Oryzias latipes: one gene and its partners. The protein of the gene in region 3 purifies or fractionates together with the protein of the main gene of each other region. This does not show direct contact. Links are inferred from orthologs where the notes say so. Each region holds a gene or a part of one and is shown on either strand. Other genes may lie near its edges.

Region 1 (2,375 bases), on a different chromosome or scaffold from region 3:
AGCCTTCCTCCTGTGTTCAAACTTTTCCACACCTCCTCCTCCTCATCAGAACAGCAGAGGCAACAACTGGGTCACACTTAGCAGCAAATAAACAACCAGGTTAGTTAAAGATCGTCATGAACACCACATGCTGGGGAGAGCAAGCAGTCACTGAACATGCAAGACTCCACAAGCGACAGAAGACGACCTTTCAACAATCCAATAAAATCTAAGGAAAGCATGAAGCTCCTAAAACTGGTGGATCTGTTCATCACAGGGAAGCTACAGTAAATATTAACCTTCCAGCCAAAGCAGGGCCCCACCACCTACACGTGTTCTTCTATCCCGAAGTTCTGCTCCAATCCAGACGGATCTAATCCAACGCCCACTGAAGGTGGGAAGTGTGGAGGGAAGAACAGCCGAGTGCTACTTTACAGTAATAAAAAAGGTGCATCTTTCTCTCCCTAAAGTCTTCCGATTGTTGTGAAGAGCAGAATGAAACAAGTGTAGTGACAACTGATTAAAAACCCATCTGAAGTTGGTTTTAAATAGTTCTATCAAAACAGGAAAGCTGAATCTGAAACTTAGAGCGGCGGCGGCGGTCTGTAAACGACAACAGGCAGGACAAGATTCAGTCGTTTGGAACAGTGGTAAGTTATGATCTGTGGCTTTAGACGGTGATGTGGTAGGGGCTGCCGGGGATGTGCTCGTCTCCCCATTTCACCACCAGGATGTACTCCCCCTTCTCCTTCAGCTGGTAGCTCACATTGTACACCCGGTTGCCCAAATGCTTCACTAGGATTTCCTCGCAGGGGACCTTGGGACCATCCACGCCGACCAGGAGCATGTTACGACCTGAAGGAAAGACGCAGGGAAACCACTTTACTACAAACATTTGAGAAATGTTAATGTTGAGGGACATCACCCACTTCCAGCTTCCTCTATTTACATCAAAACAGTTTCTTCAATTAAGGAATTTATCACTTCAATTTATCATTTAAAAAAACTACACATTTGCATTTGATTCTTCATCTTCTGTTTTTTGTCATCTGGAGGTTCTACATTACCAGCTCTTTATTATCTGCAGACGAATGATACCAAAGACGAGTGTTGTGTTTTTGACAGTTTGATTTAAAGGGGAAAATAACCATTTAATTCCTGTTTAAAATCTAAAAAACAGTTATATTTATACATTGCTTTCCAGCAATACCTTCAACTATGATGGACTGGTTTTCTGTCATGCTGTAAAAAGAAAACATATGCATGCTCCAAAAGTATTAAAATGTTGAAAATGATTAAGCTTCTTTTGCAATTTGACCCCAGGCAAGGATTAAAGAAAGTTTATGCATCAAGTCAATAATTTTTCAACCATCTTTGATAATTTATTTTTAAAGTTTAGACAAAGACTTTTTTCAGGTTTTGAAGAAAAACTACTGAAAATAAAGTTTCACACATGCAATGAAGCCAAAAAGCAATTCAGAGACTTAAAAAAAAATGTTGAATATTCAAAGTGAAGCCAATAAAAAATAAAAAAACATCAGTTTGCTACCATGAATGTTCTGCTGTGCACGTCTTAAAACCGGTTTTCCTTTCTGTCTATCACTAAATCCTAATTATCCTTTATTGAACTGAGGCAAGTCACTCGAGTATCATTTTGTAAACCTTAATTTTTTTTTCAGAAAAAAAAAAAAACTGTTCAAGGCTAAGTGCAGAGAGGTTCACGTTTAAAAAAAATTTTTTTGCATTTACAAAAATATTTTCCATCCAGACCACTGAAGTTTCAGATTATACGACTATGCTAAAAGAAATAAAGTATGTCGTCTATTCAGCACTCACCTGCTTTGCTGCAGTCCACACAGAAGTTGTTCTTCTGACCGATGAAGCCTTTGGTCAGGCCCGGACCTTTAGCCACCACCTTGCTGGCATCTGAGTGGACAGGAGCTCCCTGCTGAGAGCAGCTGATTGCTCGGGTCACTGGGTCGACCATGACTGAGGAGGTTTCGTGCATACTGTGGCTGGAAACCAGCTTGGAACCTGAAGAAGAATAAATAATGATTTTTTCTAAGCATTTGAGTTTAAGTTCCAGGAAGAAACCCCTTTCCTCACCTGTGATCTTGGCTTTGAAGGGGCTTCCCACGATGTGGTAAGGGCCGCCATATTTGATGGAGATTAGATAGTTGCCTGGCGCCATTGGGGTGTATGTGACTTTGTAACCCTCGGGGCATTCCACGCAGTCCATCTTCACCTTGGAGGGCCCGTCGATGGTCACGGCCAGGGCGCCGGGGCCCGCAGTGCTGGTGTTTACCACAAACTCGCATGCGGTTCCTTGAGGGTTGGAGAACAGTTGTAGTTTACCCAGTTACCCCGAACACACCAGTTTAAGGTTCTTCTCTAAA
Region 2 (3,657 bases), on a different chromosome or scaffold from region 3:
TTCTGAAAAAACAAATGTAGCAAAAACTTCAATTCCCAGAGCCCCACCCCTTCCCATTTGATATAATAGAAAAGTCCCAAATGTCCTCTGTAGATACCAAAAGGAGTTTGTCCTCAATGAGGTAAAATTTGGTGAGGAGGCCGGTGTGATCCAGAAAAAACATCCTCTGGACTCGACACGTTGATAAAAGTGGACTTTTTTCATAGAGTTCTAGTTTTGAGTCAACTTATCACTCTCATGTCCCCTCCAGCCCAGTCCCATCAAGAAGGACCGCTCCCCGAGGCCTCAGAGCTTCTGCCACTCCTCCAGCCTCTCCCCCCACGACAAGCTCTCCCTGCCGGGCTTCATCAGCCAGAGGGACAAGCAGCAGCGCCTGTCCTACAGCGCCTTCACCAACCAGATGTACAGCGCCTCCACCGACCTCAGCTCCTCCCCCGTGGCGGACGGGCCGCCACTGCCTCCCAGGAACCAGGGCAAAGGTCAGACACGCTGTGCAGGAGCGGGCGGCTGCGGTTTAAGTAACTGTCTGGTGGATCCAAACGTGCTGATGACAGGGAGATGCAAAAGAGAAGCTCTTGTGTTAGGAGAACACCTGGAAACCAGTACGTCTGTTAGTAGCTGCGGTTACATGGACAAAAGTAATCGGAGTAAACGCCTGATGGGAATAAAAATGCGTCATCTAAACACGCCGTCTGGAATATTCTGCCCCGATCAGACTCATTCGGATCAGAATTTCCTTCCGATTGAGGAGGGGGGTTATGCCGATGGTTGATCCGATCGTGGTGCATGTAAACAGTTCATTCCGATTGTGGGTTACTATGGCGCTGGCTTTTAAGTCAGGCATAGACGGTGTGGCGCTCCAGAGGAGGCTAACAGGACCGGCCGGCCGCACAGAATTAAAATAATTATAGGAGAACAGCCACTTAATAATAATCATAACAATAATAAATCTTTTTTTAATTTTTTTTAAAGTTGTCCTGTCCCACAGCTGAGCAAACAGATGAGAGCTGAAAGCCTCTTGTGTTGGACACATTTTACTGTTAAAACAGAGGTTATGAGTCTTCTGACATACCAGAGGTATATTTGAATAAACTCCTTTTGTAATTTAAGCTAAACTTTATTCATATTAATTGTATTTTACGGACGTTTCCGGTATTTTAGAGAGTTCTGCGCATGTCACGATGATTTATGCCGACCGAAAGTGTGGCGTACGTAAACGTTTTATTGTAATCGGATGCCATTATTTTGCAGTTCAATTCTGATACTCTGCACATGTAACCGCAGCGCATGTTTGATTATTTCAGGAGAGATTTCTAATGACTTTACTCCGGCTTCCATTACCACTAGCAGCAGCGGCGGAATGCAGTCTAGCTTACATAGCAAACTAAAGAAAACACGGCTGCAGGGCGGAGGGGGCAGTTGTGATTCGGTCATACGCCTTTATTAGCGTGGACGCAGAGAACACAGTGAGGGCGCTGACTCTGCAGTTCAGGTTAAAGACAACACTCCTCCATCACCCGAGACGATCGCAGAAAACACAGTTCCCAGTTACCTTAGCAGTTTTCCGACCTATCACAAATAAAAAGCACTCGGGCAGATCCAGCACAGATTTGTCCGTGCCCGTGCTCTGACAGGTGTCCTCGTTTTCTGCATTTTCAGAAAGCTTTGAGGTTGTAAACAGACAGATTGAGTTCTGTTATAGATGCACAGAAATATGAACATTTATTTAAAGGAAACTATGCTGGGTGTAGTGGCAACGCTTTATAATAAGATCCCTTAATAATCTAGTTATACGACATAAACATTTATTAGTAATGTGTTTGTAGACCTTTATTGGAAATTGATTAAGACATTAATTATTATTTAGGTCTTATTATAGGTGGTAATAAGATGCTTATAAAGAGATTTATTAGCATTTTTAAAGTCTTTATGTGGAATTTATAATATGTTTTTAAACATTTATAAAACATTTATAGGACAGTATAAATGATTTTAATCCCTTATAGGTGTCACCATAATGCTTAAAAATAAGTTTATTACTTGTAAAGTCTTAATAAAACATTAACAACTGTTAGTAATGTGTTTATAAGCCTTCATTGGACATTTTTTAAGACATGTAATAACATTTGTAGATCTTCTACAAACATATTAGATGCTTATAGAACATTTATAGATGTTTTGTCCTACAGGTGGTAATAAGATGCTTATAAAGGCATTACTAATGCTTGTTCATGTCTTATAACCAGTAATCTGTTATCTGTTCGAATCGTGCTGCTCGGATGTGAATTTGTGACCTTCAGCGTAACAACCTGCAGTCTGGCCGGTCATTTACTTTCTCTCTGAAAGGAAGGCTGGCGATGGACAACCTTTGCAGCAGAGGGTTGCACGTGTAACCTTTGTTGATGAGAAAAGTTGTTGTTGTTGCTGTTTATTCTTGCTTCTATGTGTGTAAATCTAAAGCTTTGCAGGCCTGCCACTTCCAGTTGCAAAGCTGTACTGCAGTAAAAGAGTGGATAAAAACACGGATGACAGGCTAACTCTTCACGGCTCTGCATTGGCGCAGCTCAGTGCCGAGGAGCCGGCCCCCCCGGGGGCCAGCCTCACACCGTTTCCCCTTTTTTTTCTTTTTCTTTTTTGTCTTTTGCTTCACTTGTCACTGATAGAATCTCATCTTGTTATTTTTCCGGTGTGTGGGAGCAGCTCTTTCTGAGACTGACATGCTTGTAGATTGTCTCCCACACTCCTCATCTCGCTCTGTTTTCTTTCTCTTTTTTTGTTTCTCTATTCTTTCAGCTCCTCACTTGGCATTCCTTGGCTCTCATTCGCACTACGCCACACTGGCTGGCACTCGACCATACATCAGTGAATATCTTGTTTAAGTTCTCCCCTTTACCCCTCGGTTGTTTCCTTCTTTACAGCTCAGATGGACGGGGTGTTATTGAGACCTGAAGCTGTCTTTCTGAGATGATTTCAGTTTTTTAATGTATTTAGATTGACGACCCGCCATCTTTGAGCTGTAAACTCTTAGCCACAGCTGATACCTCTCTGGCTGAGCTCTCTGCTAGCTGCTTTCACCTTATCTTTCATAAATGACAAAAGTCGTCGGCAGACGTCCAGCGGACAAAGCCCTGCTCCTGCTGTCTGTCACTCCTCTTCCTCGGCACTCCCCCCTTTACCTGCTCTGGACGTGAAACTTTCTCCGTTTGTTTTGGACCTCACCGCCTCACCTGTCCTATGTGTCGCTCCTCCAGCTCCTCCCCCATCCGGCCCTCTCTCCACACTCACGACAGGAGGCAGCTCCACCCTGTCCAAGAAGAGACCTCCGCCCCCTCCTCCCGGACACAAACGCACCCTGTCTGACCCACCCGGCCCTCTCTGTCACAGTCCACACAGTAAAGGGGGCTTATCCGGGGGTGAGCCGCAAGCACACATGAGCAGCAGCCCCAGGAAGTAAAGTCTTCATAAAATTAGACCAAAAACTTGTTAGCATTTTCTAGGGCTGCACGATATGAGGAAAACGTGCGATATAGGTGGTCAATATTCCGATGACGATATAACTTGCGATAGATAAACAAATAGAAAAAAATCTAAATGCATCACTTCCATTTCACTGCAACAGTTTCTTTTTAATCAAAGTCAACATAACAAATTACACTC
Region 3 (3,566 bases):
AGCTTCATTTCTGGTTCTGAGATGCGGCTTGAGAACAGAAACTCAATTCAGGAAAAGGTTTTGTCTCCAAATCTTGGTTTTAGTCTGGATTTCTGTGAAGTATTTAGCCTGTCTGTGGGGTGAAGGTTCTTAAACTCCACAGACATCACACTGACCTCCAAAGCAGCAGCTTCTTCTCCGGTTGATGATGGTTTCAGCCGTCTTCGTCTTTCTTCATCTCTCCCATCATTCAAAGGTTTCCTGGATGTGACGTCCTCCTGACACGTTAAAGGAAAACACACTGATTTGTGCTGATCAGGACTCTAGCCTGTCTTCTGCCTGACAGACAGAGCTCAGGGCACAGCAGGGATTGGTTTACATCCTAGGCCGTCCAAATATGGGGAATCTGAATATTATGGGCGTGTCAGATGTTTGGAGGGAAGGGCGTCTGATTGGACCTGCTGTATTTGCTCTTTAATAGATGATCAGCAGTTCGAGTACGGCGAGGACCTCGGGGTGACCGCTGTGGCGCTGTACGACTACCAAGCAGGTGAGGAGGAGGAGGATTCCGTTCTCAGCGGTTGACTTCAGCTGCACCTTCAGGGTCTGAAGCCGACAGCCCAGAGAAAAAGACGAGCTCTGTCTGACACATCAGGGTTCTGTTTGAACTCCTTCAGAGGCTAGAATGTCTTTCTTTTTGGAATCTAAGGGTGTGTTCAGACTGGACACGTTTGGTTCCCTAAGTGAACCAGAATTCGCTTTTCCAGATAATCTGGAACAAGTTTTCAGTCTGAATCCACCCAAGAGGACTCTGGTCCAGGACCAGGAACCGCTCTGTGACCCACCTTTGGAGGTGGTCTGGGTTCGTTTCCAATCAGATTCCTCAGCCTGAATACAATCCGTCCTCGGAGCGGAACATCTGGACCCACCGGGCCACCGTAGCCGACCTTAAAACGCTTCTGACAGGCTTTTCTGTGTGGTTACGGCCGACAAACGCCGCTGTGACGTCATCCTAAAAGTTACCTTGTAGTTCCTGAACAGAATTCTTCAAATCGACGCCATAACTGCACAACGATGAGATGCAGAAACTCATTCAGACTATTGGAAGGTGATCCACATCACTTCTCACCGTTTTCCTGACTGTCAGAAACACATTCGTGTTCTTCTGTCCGTCACCGTCCTGCAGCCTGACGTTGATGCAGACGTTCACATCTGTCAGTGAATCTAAAGTCTGAAGGAACTGAAAGTGCAGGACTTCCATCATTTCTGTCTCTGGTTGCTTTGCCCCGCCCTCCTAACTCCTGACCAATGAGTGAAGAGGTCTGCAGTCACATGGTTTTGTTGACAAGCTTTAGTCTGGAACAGAAAGGCTGCCTGACAGCCGTCTGAATATAGACCCAAGACAAGGTTCAGGACTCGATCCGGGTCAGAACCAAACGCTTCTCCGGTCTGAACACAGCCTACTACTCCTTTTTTAGAAAGCTAAAATTAGATGAAACTCCTGTAATTTATTTCCGTTTCTTTATCTCGACCTTCAAAATGCGAGAATAGGATTAAAGAAAATACCTTTTTGGAGGCGGAGTCTGTTTCCAGTGTCTGCAGATGGTTTTCTAACATCCATGTTTTCCGTCTCAGCTGGTGACGACGAGATCTCCTTCGACCCCGATGACATCATCACGAACATTGAGATGATCGATGAAGGCTGGTGGCGTGGCGTGTGCCGAGGAGCCTACGGCCTCTTCCCCGCCAATTACGTGGAGGTTCGGCAGTAAGGAGCGGCGGAGGGCCAGCCCCTCCCCCGGAGGCGGAGCCTCTGCCGCGGTCTTCCCTCCCTTCAGCTCATGTTCGTGATTGGACACAGAGAGACGTCGTCGCTCCTTTTCCCGCCTCAGACCGGCTTTCAGGTCAGGCGGCCTCCGATCTGTCATTCAAGTCATTCCACAGGTTTAGCCCCCCCTGCATCAGCGCGCGTTTATTACCCCCCCCCCCCCCCCCCCCCCCCCCCCCCCCCGGTGCAATCTTCACCAAAGAGTTGGAGTTGGTTTAAAGAACAGCAGAAGAACGGTTCTGCTGAGAGGTCCAGAGCGTCCTTCCTAGCTTCTGTCCGCCTGCGTCTCCTGCGCCGTCTGCGTCGTCTGCGCCGTCTGCGTCGTCTGCGCTCCGTGCTCGAACCCTCCGCAGGAATCCCTCGTCTCCGGCTGCTTCTGTGTTTTCTGGATGTGAGGCTGCCGCCGGCGTTGAGCAGATCCCGCGTGGATCCCGGCGATGTTCGGGACCCGCGCTCATCCTGAGTCCGCCTCGCCGCAGTGCAGCTGAAACATCCGCTCATCTTTGGGGAAACGGATTTAAAAAAGTGACCTTTTTCAAACGTTTGATCTGAAACACCTCTCTGCTTCAGTTTCATCATTATCTGCTCTTTTTTTTTAAAGTTTCAATAAATAAACGGAATAATATTTTTTCTGTGCTTCATTTGAACAAAGTGAGATATTAAAATAATCTGAAATGAAGATGAGGGGGAGGGGCTTATGGCGTCTTTAACTTTATGTACATCCATATTTTTTTACTTGTTGCTTCCTTTCCCCTAAAATGCTGTTTCTTTCAAGCCCGTGAGCAGAAGATGCTTAACTGTAAAGCAGAGCATGAACGCAGAAAACACGACGCCATTTATGATGTTCAGATCCGAATTCTAGGAAAATGTTTGGATGTTTAATGCACTTTCACTGTCTGAATTATCAAAAGAAAGCTGATATTTGATGTTTTGGAGCCTCAAATGTCCAAACGCAGCTGCTAAATGCAAAGGTTTTTCCAAACGGATCCCTTTTAAGATGCGTTTAGACGTTCCTGCTTTCAGGAAGCCAGCAGCAGTTCTGATCTGTCTTCATGTTAACGTCTGAGCACAAAAACATTCAAAGTCTCTTCATTCGGTTAGTTTGGATCCTTTAAAGACCCACTCTGATGGAAAAATGTTTGTAAAATGTTCTTGTCCCATTTTCTTCTCATGGTTGACACACACATATATACATAAAAGGATTAAAATTGCATTTGTATTTGTTTTCATGCTAATTGTTAATCAGAAGCCGACGGTAATCCGTTCTGATCAACAGATCCATGAACGTCTGTGTTTTCCTGGTCTGAGCTGGAGTCTGGATCAGAACCGGACGGCTGGATGGCTCTGACGTTGCTCATCACTTTCTGTTGCACCGCTAATATAGAGACCGTGTCCCACAGCCACTACGTACATGTTTCACATATTTCACGGATGGAAACTGGTCATACGTGAAAACGGAACAATGGTGGTTCTTTGGGATATTTTCACAGATGTTTCACATTAAAACATTAAAACCACGGAACACGTAGAACACGTAACCCCGCGCTGCATTGAGCTTCTTTACTCTGAGCAGAAATCACGTCAGCACCATGGTCAGCGCCCGCCGCCGGCCCCTCGCCACGCTTTACTCAGTTGGATTCTTCTGATCCAAACTAGTTCTGAGTCAGCTGCTGGCCGAGCCGGACGGGGGGAGCGGAAGACCCCTACTCGGTATAGACTGCTGGAGGGGGAAAAAAAATAGACCAATCACACTTGAACC

What was found.
Region 1: the proteins of cttn (region 3) and filamin-A purify together in Homo sapiens (affinity purification with mass spectrometry; 3 studies listed by BioGRID and IntAct, with this or other methods). This does not show direct contact. The link is inferred for Oryzias latipes from reciprocal best matches to the Homo sapiens genes CTTN and FLNA.
Region 2: the proteins of cttn (region 3) and asap1 purify together in Homo sapiens (affinity purification with western blotting; 6 studies listed by BioGRID and IntAct, with this or other methods). This does not show direct contact. The link is inferred for Oryzias latipes from reciprocal best matches to the Homo sapiens genes CTTN and ASAP1.

Annotation. Positions count from the first base shown.
Region 1 is NC_019865.2:4,665,154-4,667,528, reverse strand, and holds the end of filamin-A, read right to left. Parts: intron 2,305-2,375; coding exon 2,086-2,304; intron 2,014-2,085; coding exon 1,816-2,013; intron 835-1,815; coding exon 650-834; 3' UTR 529-649; downstream 1-528. UniProt on the Homo sapiens protein: Promotes orthogonal branching of actin filaments and links actin filaments to membrane glycoproteins. Anchors various transmembrane proteins to the actin cytoskeleton and serves as a scaffold for a wide range of cytoplasmic signaling proteins.
Region 2 is NC_019878.2:21,063,758-21,067,414, reverse strand, and holds part of asap1 (arf-GAP with SH3 domain, ANK repeat and PH domain-containing protein 1), read left to right. Parts: intron 1-250; coding exon 251-479; intron 480-2,793; coding exon of another isoform or gene 2,794-2,862; intron 2,863-3,251; coding exon 3,252-3,413; intron 3,414-3,657. UniProt on the Homo sapiens protein: Possesses phosphatidylinositol 4,5-bisphosphate-dependent GTPase-activating protein activity for ARF1 (ADP ribosylation factor 1) and ARF5 and a lesser activity towards ARF6.
Region 3 is NC_019861.2:2,175,431-2,178,996, forward strand, and holds the end of cttn (src substrate cortactin), read left to right. Parts: intron 1-155; exon of another isoform or gene 156-257; intron 258-457; coding exon 458-529; intron 530-1,545; exon of another isoform or gene 1,546-1,614; coding exon 1,615-1,751; 3' UTR 1,752-3,020; downstream 3,021-3,566.